2 linked regions of the Pelodiscus sinensis genome follow. The protein of the gene in region 1 interacts with the protein of each later gene in a biochemical or structural test. Links are inferred from orthologs where the notes say so. Each region holds a gene or a part of one and is shown on either strand. Other genes may lie near its edges.

What was found.
Region 2: the proteins of BCL2L1 (region 1) and PMAIP1 interact in a biophysical measurement, tested with the Homo sapiens proteins (3 studies listed by BioGRID and IntAct, with this or other methods). The link is inferred for Pelodiscus sinensis from reciprocal best matches to the Homo sapiens genes BCL2L1 and PMAIP1.

The regions. Positions count from the first base shown.
Region 1 is NC_134728.1:1,755,261-1,766,475, reverse strand, and holds the start of BCL2L1 (bcl-2-like protein 1), read right to left. Parts: upstream 4,252-11,215; 5' UTR 4,166-4,251; intron 3,020-4,165; exon of another isoform or gene 2,910-3,019; intron 2,902-2,909; exon of another isoform or gene 2,751-2,901; intron 2,440-2,750; 5' UTR 2,315-2,439; coding exon 1,763-2,314; intron 1-1,762. UniProt on the Homo sapiens protein: Potent inhibitor of cell death. Inhibits activation of caspases. Appears to regulate cell death by blocking the voltage-dependent anion channel (VDAC) by binding to it and preventing the release of the caspase activator, CYC1, from the mitochondrial membrane.
Region 2 is NC_134716.1:108,982,347-108,992,741, forward strand, and holds PMAIP1 (phorbol-12-myristate-13-acetate-induced protein 1), read right to left. Parts: upstream 5,063-10,395; 5' UTR 4,755-5,062; coding exon 4,697-4,754; intron 4,644-4,696; exon of another isoform or gene 4,518-4,643; intron 3,648-4,517; coding exon 3,535-3,647; 3' UTR 665-3,534; downstream 1-664. UniProt on the Homo sapiens protein: Promotes activation of caspases and apoptosis. Promotes mitochondrial membrane changes and efflux of apoptogenic proteins from the mitochondria. Contributes to p53/TP53-dependent apoptosis after radiation exposure. Promotes proteasomal degradation of MCL1.

The DNA of each region.
Region 1 (11,215 bases):
CCCTGTGCAAATTAGTGTGTTACACAGTTGGGCCAGCTTGCCACAAATGATACAAGCCAGCCAGGGTAGCTAAAAATAAACACAGGGATACCAGCTCGGAGCAAAACTGCTGTTCTGTCTAGCCAAAACAGCAGCTCTTAGCCATCTTAAGAGCAGGAGACAGTGGGTGTGTCAGAAAGGAAGGAATCCTGCCCCTCATGCAATCTGCTGAACAAATATTTGTTTCAAACAATGAATTTGTGCTCAGACACAAAGCAACCAAGCTGTGATACTTGGCTGGGGCGGGGGAGGGGTACTGCATTCCCAACAAGCAGAGACCAGTGACTTTCCATCAGTGATTTAATCTAAATCTCCCAGGGAGTTCATTTACAAAATCAGATTGCATTATCGCCTAGGTCTCCAGGAGACAACCCCATCGTCACCCGCAGCAACAGCCACAGAGCCTGGGAAACCTCCACTGGATCACCCCATTCCACAGCTAATCTCTAGTTTTGAAAGCCAGCCCTGGAGAGGGGAGGGATGAAACCCAGCTTCAGCTCTGCTAGGAGGACCCGCAGGGCCAGAGAGCTCATGGGCCAGAGACCACCTGCTGAGCTGGCGAATGAGCGCCTTGGTTATTAACGTGAAGCAAAATTCAGTCTGTTTGGGCAGCCACACCCCAGGCAGTGCCCCAGGCAGATTGCATTCCAAGCATTCCTGGGCTGGAGCGCACATCCTCCTCCTGCCTCAGCAAGGCTTCGTGTCCTGGGTCCAGTGCTGGGTGAGCGCCAAGAGGCCAGCTCCAATTCACCTGTGGCAGGTGCAGTTGCAGGGCAAGGCTGGGCTGGAGCAATCTTGTCTCCATACTCCCCTGCACTTCCTGAAGTCCCCTCTACCTGTCAGGGGGAGGTACCTGCCGGGCTGGGAAAGTGAACACTAGTCCCAAAACCACAGCTCCTCAATGGGCAAGGGAAACAAAACTCCACTGCTTAAATTCGAGTAGCTGGCACTGTCCTCCCTGTACTCTTATAGGCCTCGCTACCATGGTAGAGAATCAAGCCCCACATCCCGTGGACCTAACACGTCCATAGTGCAGGCCTTCTGGTGCAAGCACAAATCCACTAAAAGTGTCCACAAGCTCGGTGCTCAGGCAAGCAGGGGAAAACAACTGTGATTGGAGCCAGGCATACAGCAGGAGTATTAGCTGCCTCTCTTCAGGTAGTTCTAGCTATGTACTTCAATTCTCAAACAATGGGGAGGACAAATACCCCGGGGAAGAAGGCCTACTCTATTGGTGAGCAAATCAGAAGGGGAGTTCTAGTCTTCAGAGGAGAAGAGCTAGCATGTCATCCCACTCCGCTTCAAAGCCTACCCCTGGCATTTTAGGACAAAGGTGGAAGGAAGATTCAGTCCTGAGCTGGGTTCCCGACTACTGTCGGTCATGCTAAGGAACATCAGGAGCAATCCTGGATGACCGGGACGCCAAAAGGGTTTCTCCAACATCCAAGGAGGCTAAGAAGCAGAGGGATTCAGACAAGCCTGGATGGCAGGCATGGTACCAGTCTGGATTGTTCTGCCAAAATGGAGTGACCCCTTGTGGCAAACCGCTAAGAAAGGGGAAAAAGGCCCATTCGAGCTGTCTGTTTCCCTAGGGACATCTAAGACCATTACTACCATGCACAAGGCACTCAGCCAGTTACATTTTAAGCAGACTTGTACAACAGTTGTCAATAAGGTCGGATGAGGGGGAGCGCGTCCCCTTGGACGCGAGACATATTCTTACCCAACCGCCATTCTCTTGGATCCAGGGATCAAGGTGGTCAGTCAGGTAAGTGGTCATCCAAGAGGCGATGCGTCCCACCAACACCTGCATCTCCTTGTCCACACTCTCCACGCACAGGGCTCCTCCAAAGGAGAAAAAAGCCACAATGCGCCCCCAGTTCACTCCGTCCCGGAAGAGTTCATTCACCACCTGCTCGAAGCTCTGGTAAGCCGTGCCCAGGGTGATGTGGAGCTGGGAAGTGAGGTCACTGAAAGCCCTCCGATACCTCAATTCAAACTCATCTCCTGCCTCTCTCAGCGCCTGCCTCACTTCGGCTGCCGGAACCCTTTCATGGGCTTCAAGGCTGTTACTGTGCCCGGCAGCCCCGTTCACTACGTGGCTGGCACCTGGATGCCAGGATGGACTCCCATTAGGGACGCTTGCCATCTCCGCCTCTTCTGCAGCCTCAGTCCTGATCTCATCCTCCCCCTCGAACCAGCTCCAGCTGTGTCCCCTCTGCGATAGCTTGTAGGAGAGGAAGTCAATCACTAATTCCCTGTTAGTGTTCGACATTTTCACATTAGGGGGATTCTCATCGAGTCCATGGTCCAGAACACGAGCTGACCAGCGTGCTTACCAGTTCCAGGCTCTGCTTTCCTCTGGGGTCAAGGCAAACCTCAGAATGTGGAGCAGACAATCTTCAGAGGGAAAAGAGAGGCAAGTAAACTGTTAACACAACATTATACTCACATTTGGGGCATTAACATCAGTAGCTTCTTCCTACACTGAGACCCTGGAGCGTCTGCGGTTACACCCTAGGCAGAAGCTCAGAAAACTGATGGAAAGCCATCCATTTCGACGAGCCCTAGGCTGAAACCCCTTGGACTTGCTTCTGAAACAGCCACAAGTCACATGAAACGCAAGCAGTTCAGCCACCTCTCCATGACCTAGGAAAAGCCTGAAAGCTCTTTTGTGATGTAGCTGCGCAGAAGGTCGAGGGGTTCTATACCTCTGCAGAAGGTCACCAAAGGCTCGGTAGCCAGCCAGCCCCAGCTGCTTAGTCTCAGACTAAGCCTGAGAAGAAAAAGCAGCTCTTGCTGCAGCGACGGCGCGACCCTGCAGGCTGGAAATTTGAAAGCAAAGAGGCTTTGAAGCCCCAAGAGCTCACCCTCCGCTTGTTCCTCCATTACCTTGATTGAGTGGTGCATGCAGCTCCGCTCTGCTGCAGTAACGCAAAGAACCCTCCTTCCCGCACGCCCCCTTCCTCCCCGCCTCCCGGAGAAGATCAAAGCCCTTCCTGATTTTTTTTTTAAAGGGACCGGTACTACTGGGTGAGGTCCCTTGAAATATTGGCTTGCGCACTAAAAGAACAATGCACCGTTCTCTCACTCCTGTCAAGTAACATTTTCCAATAATTAGAGAGGCTCAGTTTAGAACAATAGCAGTTGGCAGCCAGCACGGGGGAGCTGGTTAAAGCTTTACAACATGATTTTCCTTTTTCCATTCCAGAGAGGATTATCCCTGGGCTGAGTTTCACAAGCTTCCAGGTGCATTGAAGGTGCACAGTTCCTCTTTGCTAGGTTTGAGTGCCGCTACCACCGTAGGGAATCCTTTACAGACCTCTTCTGCATTTTACTGGAGTCCCACACCCTCAACCCTACTCTGGTAGCAAAGATAGGGAGAGGAAGTCATAGAATAGTTTCAGGGTGCCCAGGAAAAGCAAGGAAAGATTGGAAGCACATTCAATCTATGCTGCCTTACTTCGGGTGTAATTAATCATTGCAGAGGGAGGTTTCCAAGGAAAGGGAATGCATACAAACACAGATCTCACTGGGAGAGACTTGAAACAAAAAACAGGACTATGTAGTTAAAGACTAACAAGACGGTTTATTAGGTGATGAGCTTTCCTGGGCCAGACCCACTTCCTCAGATCAAAAAAGAGAGACTTGGCACTCTTCAGGGAAACCCTGAAATATTACTAACGACCCCTAGAGTATTGTAAGAACAGAAATAACTCTATAGAAATGTGTCCCAGATACACTCTTTTTCAGTGTTTTGCCATCACATCTATACAGTCAACATCTATAGGCCAAAGGGGGGGCCATGGCTTCCTGTATTCAGAGCTTTCTGTAACTACTTGTATTAGGAAACCTTATAGTGCCACAGAAAAATCACCAGGTAGTTAAGTCACCAACTGCAGTCACTTTCATCTCATTGCTCTTTATTAAAAGCATTTTATTTTGTTCTATGATTTTACCAAAGCAACTTCTCTCTGCCCCATTTCCACCCTGTCCTAGGTCCTACAAGGGGAAGCAGCAGAGTGGCCTCATCTCTTTTGTACAAGGATCTGTACCAAACAGGATACATAGGCTTCCCCTCAGAATACACATTGGAGAGAGAGCATACATCCGTGTTTGTACTCACCCCCTACAGTAGCTGCCGGGAGAAAGCTCTGGCCTGGGAAATCTGTTCACCGCCCCTTTCGGACCAGCTGCAGAGGAGAAAGACAACTACTGACTCAGCACGTAGGCTACTCCCTGATCCTCCCACAAGATGCATTGAGCTGCCCTGCTCCCCATCCCTCTTGTCCCTCCCTCACTAGTCTTCTAACCCTTCCCTTGCCCCACCCCCTTACCAGACCCCAGATCTTTGGAACTAAACATAGCAAGCTGCCTTTTCTCTCCAGCATTGCAGTAAGCCCTCAACACAGCATCTACCTGACCAACATACTTTGCTCTGACACTTTACATGGACCTGGGTTTTTATGGCTGTTTTGTTTAAAATCCATTCTCTTGGCAAAGAGGCTTGGACTGGTTCTTACATCCCCCCCTTGAGGGGCTCCTGTTGAAAACTGTGCTGAGGGGTCTGCTCTTGCAAGTTTCACCTGGACTCTCAGATAGAGTATTCCCTTGGCTTGAAGCACAGTGTTTCACAAGGTCACAGATGTCAAGGTGATCTCCAAAATAATCAAGATCTAGTCTTAGTGTTTTGTAAAATAAAAGATTGATATTCATGTATCTGAATTATCAGTTGGGTTCAAAAATAATGTAGATCAATTCCTGGAGGATAAGTCCACCATTGGCTATTAGCTAAGGTGGTCAGGGTCATGCTCTTGTTGACACTAAACCTCTGACTGCTAGAAGCTGAGTGGTTAACAGGGAATCAGCAGCTTGTTAATTGCCCTGCTCTGTTCATTTGTTCTGAAGAATCTGGCAGTGATCACTGTAAGAGGACAAGCTTTTGGGCTAGCTCACTGTGCAGGCCCATATGCAGGGTGTGTGTGAAGGGTGTGAAAGCACCCCCCTATGATCCCCCAAATAAGCATGCTCCAGCCAGCCAGGGGAAGGTAGGGACAGTGCACCGCCCAAGCTCTGACCAGTCAGGGAAGACTGGGGCTGATTTCCCCATTTATTTGGGGAAAGATGGGAGGGGAAGTGCATTCACACCCTTGTGGGCCACATTTTCAAAAAAGTGCACACACCCCTGACAGAAATTCCCGCATGCAGGACTGCTATGGTGGTTGTTTTTATGTACCAGAGTGAACTGGGAGCCATTGGATTATGCTAAGTCCCAGTGTGATTGGTTCTTGACAGTCTTAGTGGGGTAGCCATGTTAGTTTGTAACTTTAAAAAAAAATAAAAAACACAAGTGGTCCGGTAGCATCTCAAAGACTAACAAAAAATATACATCGTATGGTGAGCTTCCTTGGGCACAACCTACTTGTTCAGATGAATGGAGCAAAAGGGGATTCCTTAAAGAAAATCAGCTGCATGCTGTACGAGTTTCTATGTATTCACCTTCAGGCCCAAGTGGAGTTACAGCAGTTAACAGAAGCAAGGAGAAAGTTGATTACAATTGATACATACTCATTCACAAGAAATTGCTCCTGGTAAGATGGACTGGTCTTTCAGCCAATATTGTAATCTGTATATCTAGAACACAAGAGTTCATACTTCTTTGCTGACAAAAAGATGCTGCACACCATCAGAGAGAGCAGAATTAAAACCCAGAGCATTTCATCATCTTTCCAATGGGTCTCATATATATGTTGAAAAGGAGAGTCGGTAAGAATAATTGTTACAGGACCTATTGGGGGTATAGTATTGAGTTAGCTTCATTAATCCTCCTGCTAGGTGTTGTGTGTGACTCTGCAACAATTTCTGTCTTAGCCTTTGTTAATTTTTGGAGGAGGGAGGCTAACATTTCAGCACTCTTTATTGTGAAGAAAATCCTACAGATGTAATTCACTGCTGCTAGGAGTTGGAAATTTGTCACAGTGATCATAGTTTCTACAACCATCCAGGGTAGACTGTTGGGACCCTCTTTTTTCCCTGGCTATGGGAGAAGTACCAGTTAGTTGCTGATGGTAGCTGTATGTTACCAGAAACTCCCTCTTAGCTGGCTGCTCACAGAGAAGTACAACACATTACAAAGGCAATTTCCCCTCTCTGAATATTCACATGTTCAGAACAAATGCTATGAAAGACCCACTTTCACCTAGACTTGATTAGCTTCATTAACGCAAGCAACTCCTTCCTTATATACACTTCTGCTGCTGTGACTTACACTCCAATTCACCTGATTAAGTAGGTTTTACCCACAAAAGCTTTTACCATGATAAATCTGTTAATCTCTAAAGCAGGGGTTGGGAACCTTTTTTGGTCAGCGGCCACTGACCTAGGGATGTAATAGTGTAGTTGTTTAACCGATAAGCAAAAGCTTATCACTTAATGCTATAGACTACATGCATTTCCTCCCCCCACTTTTTGCCAGAATTTTTTTTAGCAGGCTCACCAGCAGCTCAGCTCAGTTGTGCTGGGTCTAGGACCTACCATTGGTGCAACTCTGCATTTAAAGTGTATTAGAAGCTCGGTGGGCAGGCAGCCCTGCACCAGGAGCAGGAGCTCAGACCAGTCCCTTCCCCCTGACATGGGCTGCTACCACCCCACGCTGCTGCCTCTGTATCAGAGGCAGCAGTGTGGGGTGACAGGCTAGTCCACGAGGGTAGCTGGTTTTTAAACTGGCTCCCCTTGCAGACCAGTTCCTACCTGGCTCCCCATGCTGCTGCCTCTGATGCAGAGGCAGCAGCGTGGAGTGGAAGGGGGTACATTGGCTATCAGCCCCACCCCTGGGGACTACAGAATAGCCAAGTAACCAATAAGAATTCATGAGGTTAATCAACTATTCAACTAACTAATATTTAAAATCCCTATACTGAGCCACAGAAAAAACAGTTGTGAGCCACACAGTGCAGGCTCCCCAATGCTGGGTGGCCCCCCGAGCCTTAGGTTCCTCACTTCTGCTCTAAGGTGCCATTTTGTATCCCTCTTAAAATAAGGGATCTTTCGGAAAAGGCTTTATTTTCCAAAAGATCCACGTCTAGACTGGCGCTTTTTTCCGGTAAAGCTGCGTGCCGAAAAAAAGCGGTAGCCATTTTTATGCTAATGAAGTGGGGGAAATTTAAATCCCCGCTTCATTAGCAATTGCGATACCTCTAATTTGCATCCCTTTTACGAAAAAGGGATGCAATCTAGATGTAGCCACTGAGTAAATGGCTATTCCTCGGACACTTTTCACAGAGGAGTTGGCTTCTTTGCTGAATAGCCAATGTGATTTCTGGCCAAAGAGTGGCAGCTCAGTAGTGTGAGAAGTAGGATGGTGTAAGGGGCGAAGCACAAAACCGACTCTCTTAGCTTTGGTAGTTAATAGTGCCACTTTCCTTTCTGTCTTCATGCAGTGGGGAAAACAGGGCAGGCACGGGCTGAGGCTTATGGCTAGGGTCTTGCACCAATACAAAATTCGTATCCCCCTCTGCAAAAGCGAGCCACAGATAACCACAGCTACATCCACGGACAGGGATACCTGCGGACAGGCACGAGTGTGCAGAATGCTAGATACAAAATTCGTAGCCGTGCTGGTAGAAACAAGCCGGGGATACAGCACCCATGGCTATGGCAGGGTCCTGCTCCTGGCCAGGCCTGTCACCCAGACCAGAGCCCCTCCCCCAGCACTGGGAGCAGAGCACAGATGGGCGAGGAGGGGAATAAGCAGCAGTCACGTGGTGCCTGTAAAGCCTGTAACCCCTCCCCCACCTCTGCCCCTTCCAACGGCCCCGCCTCTACCCTTGGGGCCCTTCCCACGTGATGGAGGCCGAAGGCGGGGCCAACAGCCACCTTCCCATTGGCTGCTGCCCGTTGTCACTCACACCTCGCCTGCCCCCCTCACCTCAGGCCGGCGAAGGGCCTAACCCCCACCCCACAGGCGGAGGCGAACGCCGAGGCAGAGCAACAGCAGCCCGCGGACCTACAGCCGCTTCGGCGGCCTCCTGCTCCACCCCCGCCCCTCAACGGCTGCCTCATCCCCGTCTCTGGGCGGGGCCGCGGGGGAGCGCGCATGCGCGAGTGGCTTTCACGCGCGGGGCATGAACATCCGGCTAGGCGGGGGGGGTTAATACGCATGCGCACGCGGCGTGGGAGGCGAGAGCATGCGCAATGCAGCGGGCGCCCCTGTCAGCGCGAAGGCGTTAGCGACCCCGCGTGGCCGCCTGGGAGAAGTGGCTATTTAAAGGGACAGAACCTCCCCGCCCCCCTTCCCAGTGATGTCGCTGTGCAGCCAGCCGTCCCGCCCTATCGCCTCTGTTCTGCGGGGGGGAGTGTCCAGGCGCCGATGCCAGCAGCTTCCAATTGAAAAGCCCCAGGGCCACCTCACTCCCATGGTTTGTACCAGCTCTTCCCCTCCCTTGGCAGGAAGAAGGGGGGGGTGCAATGGAGCATTTCAATCTTCATCTTCCTGCTCATTTTTTCTATACCAGCGTGGAATAAATGTTGTTCTGTGCACCAAGGCATGTACAGAGATGCACCACCAATAGAAGCACATGCTGCCAGCTTTGGGCACTCTGCTAATCCACTGAGCAGCATTTGAATCTCTCCTGGGTGGTTGCCCCAGCATTCAACTTATGGGGAACACTGGTCAGTAGGACAGGCCTGGAACGTTCGTCAATAGGTCATCTAAATCAGTGTTTCTTAAACATTTTAAGACCGAGGAACACCAAACAATTTTTGTTTATGGGGAACACCAAGAATTTTTGTTGAGCACAAAAAAAAAGGAAAAAAAAAAAAGGAAGCTTGCCCCTTTAAAGGATGGCTATTTGAACTGTTTTCTCCGCATATGGACTATGTCTACACTGGAAGATTCTTGCACAAGAACCCACAGAGCGTCCACACCTGCTCGCCCGCTCTTGCGCAAGAAGATTTACAGTATGGCATCAGAAGAAAGGGCTTCTTGCACAAGAGCTACACTCTTTTCTAACAAATGAAAGCCTTCTTGTGCAAGAGGGCAGTGTGGACGTGCGGCAGGGGTTTCTTGTGCAAGAAAGCCCTTTGGCTAAAATGGCCATCAGAGCTTTCTTGCTCAAGAGAGCATCCACATTGCCATGGATGCTCTTGTACAAAAGCAAATGGCAGTGTGGATGTGTTCTTGCACAAGAACCCTTGCACACGATGTTTTTGCACAAGAACCCTTGCACATGATGTTCTTGCGCAAGAACCCGCCAGTGTAGACATAATGATGACCATATTTTCTGAACCAAAGTTAGGGACACATTACCTGCACCCCCTGACCTCTGTTTACTATGCCCCTGACTCTCGGGGTCAAGATGGACACATGACCAGAAGTAAAAGTAACCCCCTCTAAGAACTTTTCCCACCATCCTCTTACCCATAGGTAGTGGTTCTCAACTCGTTTCAGTTCACGGACCACCAGGCCAATCAAAAATTTTTCATGGATTACCTCCATTTTGAGACATGATAAAAAAGAGCAGACAACAAATATTTTGATTTGAAATGTATTTCTTACTAACAAATTTTAGGGATTCTCTTCTCACTGACAAGCTTTTCAATGTTTGGAGTGGTACTTGATAATGCACAACGAATATTGCTTTCCACTGCAAGCCGATTCCTCTGTTTGGACTTAACGTGCAACAAACACGAAATTCCAATCTCACACATATAAGTTGATGCAAATGGCAAAAGAAATCTGACTGCGTGTGCTGACAGATTTTGGTAACTTCTGATCACGCTGGCCCAGAATTTCTCTATGGTAGACTGCTGGTACATGTCTTGAGCCGCAAAATCATTTTTCAGATCCAAGAATTTTTCCTGCAGATCCTCTGGAACACTATTAACATCTGTTGTAAATGGATTCCTGACGAAAGATAATCCATCCCTTGTCCTGTCCACCTCCAAAAAGTATCGTTGGAATTAATCTTGTAGCTTCTGTAAATGATCGAGAATTTGCGTCCGAATGGCTTCCTTTTCCCCGAGCATGGCATCCACATATGGAAATTGAACCAACGTATTGCCTTCGACTCTTATGATCCAGAGTTCCAATTTATCAAGAAAAGCCTTAACGATGCTTTGGTGAGAGAACAGATTTGCACCTTTCCCTTGCAGCTGAAGATTCAGTTTGTTCAAGATTCGAAAAATATCGACAAGATACGCAAGTTCTAAATTTGACTGTGTCAGCACATTTCGGAATTCCTCTTTCCCTTGAGCCTGGACTAATAAATCCAACTTCTCTCTCAACTGAAAAACTCTGTTGAGTATGTTCCCTACAGAGCCACCATACAGAAGCGTAGAACAGCAACAATGTGGATAAATCCCTGTAATATTATACTTTGTATTAATAAGGATACAGGCAGTCCCCGGTTACGTACAAGATAGGACTGTAGGTTTGTTCTTAAGTTGAATCTGTATGTAAGTCGGAACTGGCGTCCAGATTCAGCCGCTGCTGAAACTGATCGGTTTCAACAGCGGCTGAATCTGGACGCCAGATCTGACTTACATACAGATTCAACTTAAGAACCCCAGGCATCCCCAAGTCAGCTGCTGCTGAAACTGATCAGCGGCTGATTCCAGGAAGCCCCGGGGCAGGGGCTTCCTGTAGTCAGCCACCGGTCAGTTTCAGCAGCGGCTGACTTGGGGACGCCTGGGGCAGGGCTGCTGGGGTGCTGCTGGGTTGGTCCAGTAGCATCGCCGCTCCTCGGCGCTACTGGACCAACCCAGCAGCACCCCAGCTGCTCTGCCCCAGGTGTCCTGATTCAGCCGCCGCTGAAACTGATCAGCAGCGGCTGAATCAGGACTCCTGGGGCAGAGCAGCTGGGGTGCTGCCGGGTTGGTCCAGTAGCGCCAAGGAGCGGTGCTGCGGGACCAACCGGCAGCGCCCCACCTGCTCTACCACAGGCCCGGGGCTTTGCTCCACGTCTCCCTGGTCTGCTGGGGGGGGGCACTAGCTGCGCCCCGCCCCCCCAGCAGACCAGGGACACGGGGAGCAAAGCCGCAGCGGCGGCGGGGTGCCGCGCCTCTGAGGCTTTGCTCTGGCAAAGCCTCAGAGGCGCGGGACCCCTCCGCCTCCCGGCTTTGCTCCAGGTGTCCCTGGTCTGCTGGAGACGGTCCCCAGCAGACCAGAGGCACCGGG
Region 2 (10,395 bases), on another chromosome or scaffold:
AAACCTTTACTTTGAAATGGAGAACAAACTGATTACCGGTACCCCCTCTGTACAGAGACACAGCTGGATTCTGGCCTTATGGGAGAATAGGGGGAGTAGCTTTGTAGCGCACTTTTGCTAGGCTGTAGCTGTACACCCATGATCAAAAACATTAATTTGACACCCAGACCCCACAGTTAAACCTTTTCATGACCTTTGGGAAAGTCCAACCCTGAACCTTTTGCCACTTGTCAGATCCCTCCCATTTTGATTCCTGATGTACCTAAGACACTGTAACAGAACTTTGTCCTCCATAGACTTCACTGTTGTCACTAGGCTGCCCCTCGTGGCCACTTCATGGGGTCATTTGTGGGGTGATTATGCTTTGTGGGGTGATCATTTGATACTGCTTTCATACTCAGATTAACAGATGCTAAATAAATAGTGTGTCTTGCTCCCCTAACCTTTGAGCTAAAGGAGAAGCTAACTGTTAGCAGTATAGGGCTACTGACACACAACTGAGCAATTGTGCTTCCACCTAGCAGATATCTACGGTATCATAAAATAAAATCCAATACATCACTGCAAGTCTACTGGAAGGTATTTAATGATTGAGTGTGACCTTAAACTCCTATTTCAGAAGGAATTGGAATATGACCATTCATTCAGAATCATTAGAAAAAAGATTCTACAATAAAGAATAATTTGCTTGTAAACATATCATGTTTATTATCGTAATGAGATAATAACAGACACACTTTATGAAGACATATAACAATACATCAAGCCATAACTCCAAAAATGCCTTGAGAAAAACAATTTCATGTTGATACAGTCAGGCCACATCATTTTGAAAAGTAATGCAAGGGATCTGTGCCCAGACAATACAAAACCAGACTGTAGATTATATACAGATATTAGTCACTTTGAACTAATTCTTCTTTTGCATTGACTCTGAACAGACTGAGTGATGTAACATTAAACAATCACCAAATAAACACACACTAGAATGTAGCAACATAAAAACATTCCATCAAAAGTAAACATTGCCATTAGAAATCTGTATAATAAAGTGCTGCACACACCTCCTAGCTGAAATGCCTCCGTGACATTTACACAGTTCATTCTCACTGCTTTATGCTATTATTTCTGCTTACAGCCTGGAACTACTGATGGGGGCCATTTGAAACCCTGGTTGCATCTTATTTAACTGTAAGGCTGCATATATTGAGCTGAACACCCAATGCCTTAATGCTAAACTTTCCTGTGATTCTTACACTGACATAACTATTATTGACCTCACTGGCATTTTATTCAATTACACAGAAACCACAGGGAGCCTTTTTTCATTGATTTCAGTGTCCGTTAGAGCAAACCGTGAATGAACAGCTTTGCTTAGTCTCATGGAGTTATTCCGTGAGCTAAAATGTGGCATAGCAGAAAGGAAAACAGTCACCCTTTAATAACTGAAAAAGTGCTTTTGAACGAGATAGGATTCTGTACCTCTAGGGAGGCAAGTTCATGTTTGTCACATTAGCTTGTGGCATGGTGGATAAAACAATCCCATCCCAAAATGCTACATTCTCACTGAGAACACAATAACTGATAGCTCATAGAGGAGGAAACCTTGTATGTTTGGACCCACTCCTGCTCTCATTCAAGCCAATGCAAAAGTGCCTTTGCTGGGAGCCAGATTGGGCCCTTTACATACAAAAAACAAAACCCCAGCATCTGCTGAGATAATCCCAAATGACATCAGTGTCAGCAAATCAGATAGCTGGATACTTGGCCCTTGGTACTGAAAGAGTTTTACAGTAAAAACACAAAAGGAAAACAGATTCGTGAAACATCATAGGACCAAATTAATTGGTGATCTAGCATGGAATTAATTACACACGAAAGGCAAAGGATCGCCTAATGGATGCAAGCAGTGAAATAGTATAACTTGCTCTGATCTGGCTTTCAGAAGGTAATACGACAGATGCAATTTTATGCAAAAAGAAAGTGCAGTAGAAGCAAGAGTGAGAATTCAAGTGATTTTTCTTACTCCATCTTCTTTCTGCCTGAAACTGACCCTTATTTTGCACACCAAAATAATACCAAACTTAGGCAAGTTACAATATTTTCATACTATTCATACGCCCCATGTATAATTTAGCCCATCATTTAAGACTGATTAATTTGGCTTAGGAATGTCTTAAGCCTAAGACAGTTGCACTGTCTCTTGAATTTGACTCATGGGGCTTTTAAAATATATAAGCAGAAAAATTGCTTTTTAGGGGCCTGAATGACAGAGCAAGTCTATTCTCCAAGCCATACACAAATGTAGCTTGTCAATAAGGCTATAACAAACATTTCACTAACATCACTATCCATTAGACAAAATAATAGCTTCTTCGTTCATAATTACAAACAAAAATGGTTTGACACCAAACGAGAGCTGAGATTTTTTTTCTTAACCTTTATTTCCCAAGTCTTAGCTTTCATTTAGAAGCAATACATTGCTTTCTGATAACTATTGCAACATTCAGCTTTATGGCTATCTCTTTATCCAAGCAGTTGCTTTTGAAAAAAAGAATTCATGTTTTTTCTCCAGAAAACTGCAGATTCCATTTTAGTTTAAATTTCTATTTGTTCTGAGAGTAATTTTATTACCAACTAATAAAATTAAAACAGTAGCTTATTCTGCTTAAATAGCCCTTCTGATGATGTGAAGGAATCCTCCTTCAACCTTGCACACCTCTCTAACTTATTTTGTGATATAATACATGCTTTAATATATTACATTTCCTTATTCAGTAATTTTCTTAGAATACTGACTGTATGCTATACTTTCTTAATCACAAGAAGCTACCATGCTTCCTTTAATTTTTAATGCATTCTTTATAGCACCATTTGAATAGTTATCTACACTATTTCTGGTGTATAACCATCTATTTAAATTCCATGAAATACTCTTTTCATGCATGTATATACATTATAGAGCCATGCAGCAACCTTGTAAATAACAGAATTACAATGTTATTTATTAGAGAAACACCTGTATAACAAATTACATCATGGATAGAAAATGTGCTTCAATAAAAAAAGAATAATGTTCCACACGAGGCTTTGTCCAACAGAGTCTACATTTTAGAAAACAAAAACAACCAAGAACTTAATTTTCATTGTACATTCCAATCCAGTGTTTGGAGGTAACTGGCATTTTCTGCCTGTGCAATAGAACTAGATGCATCTCATGAAGTGGGACATCAACACACTTATCATATGAGAAGCCATGGTTCCTTGCTCTTCTAATTCACTCCACAGGTCAGTCTTTGGAATAATTAATTCCAATGTTTTCCCCCACAGACATCCACCAGAAAATGCATCTGTGGAGCTCTCCAGAAAAAGTCTATTTCGACAGCTTTCCTTCCGTGGGAACAATCAGTGTAAGTAATGCTCATTCCATCTTCTCATTTCATTCAAATCGCTTTTCACAGGCTTGTAAAGACCGTATTTTCCAAAGCCATTGTTTTCTTCCTTTCTTTTCTGTTTGCCATCTCCAAAGAGTGTTCACGTTCCTGGGCAGAACAGTTTTGTAATCACATTCAGAATCTTCTGCTGCAAATTCAGAATATCTCCTATTTTTCTCAGTTGCAAAGCACATTGGATTATAGATTCTTGCTCTGTTAAAAACAAAGGAATACCAGCCCTCAGCTTTGGTAATTCTGTACCATAAATCCTGTTTCTGTACCAATCTATCGACTTCCTTGTCTACAGGCAATAGCTTTTATATTATCATTTATCTCACACCAGAGGACAAGAGGCATGTTAAAGGTACACTGTTGCTTACACAGCTGATAACATAAATTTACAGTTTCAAAACCTTTCAAATTGTAAAATAAAAACTCAGAAACCTTTAAAAACTTTTGGTAGGTCTCTAGCTTCTTAGCAGGGGAGAATGTAATAAAATGTTCCCATTCCATAGTTTGCACAAGAAATGTTACCCTAAGTGTCAGTGCTACTCTTTGAACATTTTTTTGAATTTAGCACGGATCCCAGGACATGTCACAGAGAATAACTGTTCTGATCTCGCTAGATTGTACAGTTAAACAGCCGCCTCGGCTGTTTCAGACAACAGGAGCGTCTGTTCTCTGAAAAAAAAAATGAAATTCGCTGGCAAAAATAGCTGTGAAACTAGACTCGAACTCTCCAAGGAGGGGTCATTACAATGATTTTACAGGCCCGGGTTTGGCGGGGGGGGGGGGGGGGGGAAGGAACTTAGAACTCACAACCTGGAGCCTAACGTCCCCAAAGCTGGGTGGCGGTGGAAATCGAGCCCAGAATTGGGGGCCGCGCACCTAGCTCTGGTGAGACCCGCTAAAACGTGGATGAGGCTGGCTCCTGTATCAGGCGACACCGATCTGAGCCACTGACCCCTGTACGGAGCCTCTAATGACACAGCCCCATCGGGCCACACCACCCGTCCAGCTTTCCTTCTGGCTCACCCACCCCAGGGCCCGCTGCGCAAGAAGTTACCAAATCCTGGTTGTTACCTTGGCCACCGGCGAGCGGGAAACCGAAACCTACCCGGCTCGCAGGGAACTGAAAGCAAAACCGCCCCCAACGCAGCGAAACTCTCTAACCCCCCCAGTCCCCGGCACGGCTTTAGCCCGCGATCATCAGTCTCCAGCGCGGGTCTGAGGCCGGCTCAGTCCCCGGGCGCCCACGGTACCTGCAGCGGGAGCCGGGGGCTGCTGCGCGCCCTTGCGCAGGGGCTTTCCGGGCATCATTTCGCTCTGCCGGTCGGGACCCGCGGGGAGCTGCGATCAAGCTGCCTGGGACCGTGTCAGGCGCAGGACGGTGCCGAGCGACGCGCTCCTCTCGCTGGCCTCAGGGGCTCTGGCTGCCCGCGACTCGCCGCCGCGCGATAAAGGTGCCGCTGCCTGGGGGGGTTTCCCAGCCTGGGATGAGGTAAGAAAAGCAAAAGGGAATCCCGCCTTCCGCGGCCCTGCTCTCAGCCAATCAGCGGCCGGCAGGGCTGGCGTGCTGCGGCAAGTTGGTTCGGCGCCCGGGCACGTGGCGGCTGCTGCCGGGCGCGCCTGGACTTGCCCTAGTCGGAGCGTGGACTGGCGGCTTCCCCTCCTCCCCGGGCCCGCGGGAGGCGGTGCGAGGAGCCACCTGACGAGCAGCGGCCGCGGTGTGAGGCCTGGCACGCTCCTTGGCGGCGCCCTGGGCTTAGGCGGGAGCTATGGGAGATGGTTTCAGATCCGCAGCCCTGACTGTCCCCAAGTCCCCAAGCCCTGCCTGAGCCTTGCAGAGCGGCCATCCTCCCTGAGCCTGGTCTAGCGCTGTCAGGCACTGAGCCCTGGGCACTGGGCTCGGAATTGGATCAGGCTGCAAAATGCATTTCCCAAGTCCAGGCTCACTGGGCGGTCCTCAGGGCATCTCAATAAAGCCTGGCTCAGGTCTTGGCCCAGAGGAGCCCTGGCTGAGCTTAAGCTGTCTCTATCCTAGCCCTGCATTAGAGTCGCCAGGTGTCCGGTATTGGCCCACAGGGTCTGGTATTTGCTGCCTTTGTCCGGTTAAAAAAAACCCCAGAAAACACTTGACATGTAAAATGTCCAGTATTTTGTTTTTCTGGGACATTCTTCCCCTGCTGCAGTTGGGGTTTTTTGTGTTTGTTTTTTGCTCAACCAATTTTTTTCCTGACATGTTCGGTATTTTTTGTGAATGTATCTGGCAACCTTATAATACATGGGCGATGAAGGTTGTGCCTCCCCAAGCAGTCTGGCTCCATCCCTAGGCCGGGCACTCTCCTGACATTTACTGCCAGCTTTGCTCTGGGTGGGGCTGGGCTCTGTTTCATAGGGACTGATGCTGGGGTTGCGCTGCCCACCTAGTGCTCAGACTGTACCACCCAGATACCTGACACTTTGGGGTTGGGGCTACCGTAGCCACATAGCCCTGAGCACCTCGGTTAGAAGCGATGCGGAGCATGTGGCCACACTGCCTAGTGCACAGGGGCTGGAGGTGTTGTAGCCCCTCTGCCCAACTGCCTGGAGCATGGGGATTTGGGGCTCTGCAGCTGTGCCACCCGCTGTACTGGGAATGGCAGCGCAGTAGTCATGCCACCTACACACTTGATGCACAGGTGTTGAGGGCACTGTGGCTGTGTTGCCTGGCTGGCTGTCCAGGGAACTAAGACTGGGCTCTTGCTCCCCGGACACCGTGGCTGTGTCTACCTTGGCACCCTTTTCCGGAAAAGGGATGCTAATGAGACAAGTCAGAATTGCAAATGCCGCGGGGGATTTAAATATCCCCCGCGGCATTTGCATGAACATGGCTGCCGCTTTTTTCCGGCTCGGGGCTTTGCCGGAGAAAAGCGCCAGTCTAGATGGGATCTTTCAGAAAATAAAGCCTTTTCCAGAAGATCCCTTATTCCTCTTAAAATCAGGATTTGTCAGTGAATGACATTAACAGAGAAAATGATGGCTTCACCCCTCAAAGCAGTTTCTAATCAGAGAAAAATGCCAGACAATAATATGTGTCTATGATGGCTGATGAGAAATAATAATTCTCTCCATGTAACCACAGCCTCTGGTACCTAATGCCTGCAGATGCTGACTATATTAGTGGTGACTGGACATACTTGACTATCAGGCCATTTGTACTGGCTCTGTTCAGAGGCACTTTAACCTGTTATATTTACTGCACAGATTGGGTGAAGTCCTAGCCCTACAGAAGTCATAGCAAAGCTCCCATTGATGTCAATAGGACCAGGTTTTCATCTGTTTTACCTTAATCGTAGTGCCACCTTTATTGTCCAACAGCATCAGCTGGTTTCAGAAACATGCTGGCAAAATTCTGTCCTTGATGCATTGAGTGGGGTCGGGGGAGGGGAAGAAGGAGTGGAAGCTCCCTGACCCATTTCTCCCTGACCCTAGGGCAGCAGAACTTATGTGAACGTGGGGGGAAAGGCTGTGTAATGCACCTTCCTGCTCTTATGTTAAGATAGGAGGCCCAAAGCAGTATATGCACAGGGAGACGGAAGAGTAACCGTGCTCCAAGGAGGTACACCATGTCCACTTGGAGCTATGGTGTGCTGGCAGGTGTGTTAGCCATTACTTCAGCCTTTGGCTCAGTGTAGTCCTTGTCTAAAATCCTGCCCAGTAATAATCCTAGAAGTGAAGGATGGTCACCCTGCATCCACTTTCATTCCTCCTCCCAGAAGTTTGCTGTTTGCTGATAAGACTATTCACCAGTAAATAGGAAGTTTATTTCCCTAAAAGAAGGAAGGGTGCAAACACCAAGTAGGCAGAGGGTGTTTGTTTAGGGTGGCACAAAGCTTACAACTAGAAGGCTCTTTTGTAACCCTGTTTTGACGCTAAAGAGCTGCTTTTGTTTTGGTGCTAATTGACCTCTGTGGCAGTCTGTCTGGTTTACACTGCCACTCATCATCACACCACTATCATATTTGTCATCTGAAGAAGTGGGTTGTGCCCATGAAAGCTCATAATACTATCTATATTTTTTGTTAGGCTCTAAGGTGCTACAGGACCACTACTTTTTTAAGCTTTTTTTAAAGTTACAGACTAAACACAACTACTCCTGAGACTTTTACCCGTCACCATGGTATGTGAGTACCTTTAGCATGAAGTAGATTGTCAAGAGCAAAGTCCCTGGTAGGCAGGATATAAATCTTCCAGGCAGAAAAAGTTTTGGGTTTTTTTTGTTTATTTGACACATTTGTGTGTTTGTTTTTTTCTGTTTGCATTTTTAATTTTTTTTGGAGCTACTCGGAAGTATTTGACTGGGCTGGTGACAGATTTGCCAGGTCCTGGACAATGTGTGTGTGGGGGACCTTAGCTCTGGAAAAGGTGGGGCCTTGGGCAGAAGAAGGGGGGGTTAGGGTTAGCCTTCCTCCTCCAGCTCTCACTGCCCCTGGACTGTGCCTTACAGTGCTCCAACCGTGATTTAAAGGGCCTGAGGTTCTGCCACTGCCATGGTAGCAATGGTGGCAGCTGGTAGCTTGGAGCTCTTTTAAATTGCTGGGCCTAGGGGCAACTGCCTCCTTTGTCCCTCATGCCCGCCTCCTTTGAGGGCCCTGGTATTTGTTCTCTTAGTGCTTTGCACAGCTGTTTGCCATTCCTTTTGCTCCTCTTTGAGGCGTATGCAGCAGTAACTGGCTCCCACACTGCAGTCACTTGTTGCATAGAGTGCTCTGTTTGCTCACTGCTTTCATTTCTGGATCCTCTCATTTAAAGGGGAATACCTTTTCAAATATCTGACTCCTCGATCACAAGACACTAGTTCCTCACAGCTAACAGGAAAAGCAAGTTTTAGGAAGCTGGTAAACCTGATCATACCTTAGTGCACATCAGAATAGGTGACGTGGCCATGTGCTGATTGTATAAGCATTGTTATTGTCTCAAGTTCAAAAAAAAAAAAGCTGCACACGAATCCCTGGGGCTGTATTTCAGTGCAGTTTGGTGAAGAACAATGGTTCCTCTACAAATAATTGTGATTTTCCTGGAAATGTAGTGATACAGCATTGTGTACTACCCGCTACCCTCTCCCCAGCTGTGCACAGGAAACCAAACTACAAAGAAAGTTGGCGTGGGCTTAGAGAGCAGGGAAAAGAGAGAATTTCTGATCCATCCCACTCCCACAGTGATGTATCTGTATCTTCCCCCACCACAACAAACTCCGAACAGCTAACGGATCATGCAAGAAGTGTGGACAGACATAGGGTTGCCAGATACTTTCACAAAAAATACAGAACATGTCCGGAAAAAAATTGTTTGAGCAAAACCAAAAACAAAACCCAACCAACCGAAAAAACAACAACAAACAACCGCACAAAAAAAAACCCAGTCAGTGTGCCTTTAAATTCCCATGGTCCCTGCTCCCTCCCCCCGCCCCCGCCATATGTGACAGGGGAAGAATGTCCCAAGCAGCCTTCCGTCCGAGAAAAACAGAAAATACTGGACATTTTATATGTCCAGTATTTTCTGGGGTTTTTTTACTAGACAGTGGAGGCAAATACCGGACTATCCGGGCCAATATTGGACACCTGGTGAGAAGAAGCCAAGTATATTAAATGGCATAGTGTGACACAATTCAGAGCAACTACACCTTTATTCTCCCTTCATGTTCTAGCGAGGGCAGCTACTCTAGGCTCTGGCTCCTCAGCCTTCACCCCTCTGATGGCCATCATCTCTCTCCCTCCTGACCACTGTATTTCTAGGCTGCATGGTTCTCTGCCTATACTGTAAATTTCTCAGCAAAGTCTAACCATCTAAGCAGGTCAACTTTGCTTTTCTTCACAGAGGCTACAAACAGTGTAATTGGTCATAGCAAAGTTACCACACAGCTATTTCAAAGCAAGCACATTTATCCTTCAGGTAGTGAAGATTACAGAGCAAACACATTACAACCACTAAAAGAACCTACATGCATACTAAAAAACTTACCAGGGATCATCCCGCTAGTCTAACAAGGGCTCTACTGCTGACCAGTCCTGAAAAGCTAGACAGGAATTTTACTATGGGGATAAATTGATAAAAACAAGCACCCCTTTAAATCTCTAAGTCATGCTTTTATCCAGTTTGGGACTCAGATCTCCTCCTGTAAGAAGCGCTCAACAAAAAGTTTCTCCTCAGAGATGGCTTCAAAAGGCTGGGTCCCCAAAGATGGCTAATTTGCATTCTCCTTCAATCAAGTATTTCCCTGGAAATCCACTCAATTAGACATGCTAGCCTGGCTAGTGCATTGCTTCAAATGGTCGTTTGAAGCTCATAGCATGTCCTAGGGGTTACAGTAGGCCAGTGTTCCCTTTAAAGAAGTTATACACAGTCAGGCTACGTCTACACTGGCCCCTTTTCCGGAAGGGGCATGTAAATTTCACCAGTCGTCGTAGGGAAATCCGCGGGGGATTTAAATATCCCCCGCGGCATTTAAATAAAAATGTCCGCCGCTTTTTTCCGGCTTTTAAAAAAGCCGGAAAAGAGCATCTACACTGGCCCCGATCCTCCGGAAAAAGTGCCCTTTTCCGGAGGGTCTTATTCAAAGTAGGAATAAGACCCTCCGGAAAAGGGCACTTTTTCCGGAGGATCGGGGCCAGTGTAGACGCTCTTTTCCGGCTTTTTTAAAAGCCGGAAAAAAGCGGCGGACATTTTTATTTAAATGCCGCGGGGGATATTTAAATCCCCCGCGGATTTCCCTACGACGACTGGTGAAATTTACATGCCCCTTCCGGAAAAGGGGCCAGTGTAGACGTAGCCTCACACATTAACATTTTTTCTTTTAATACAATGATTATGAACTCCTAACATTCTTCAGTGTAATTCAATATGGGTTGGCCCGGATATTGCCATGTCTATCCCAGTGAGCATTTGGGAAGCTGTCTATACAAACTCATGAAGTCTGGAT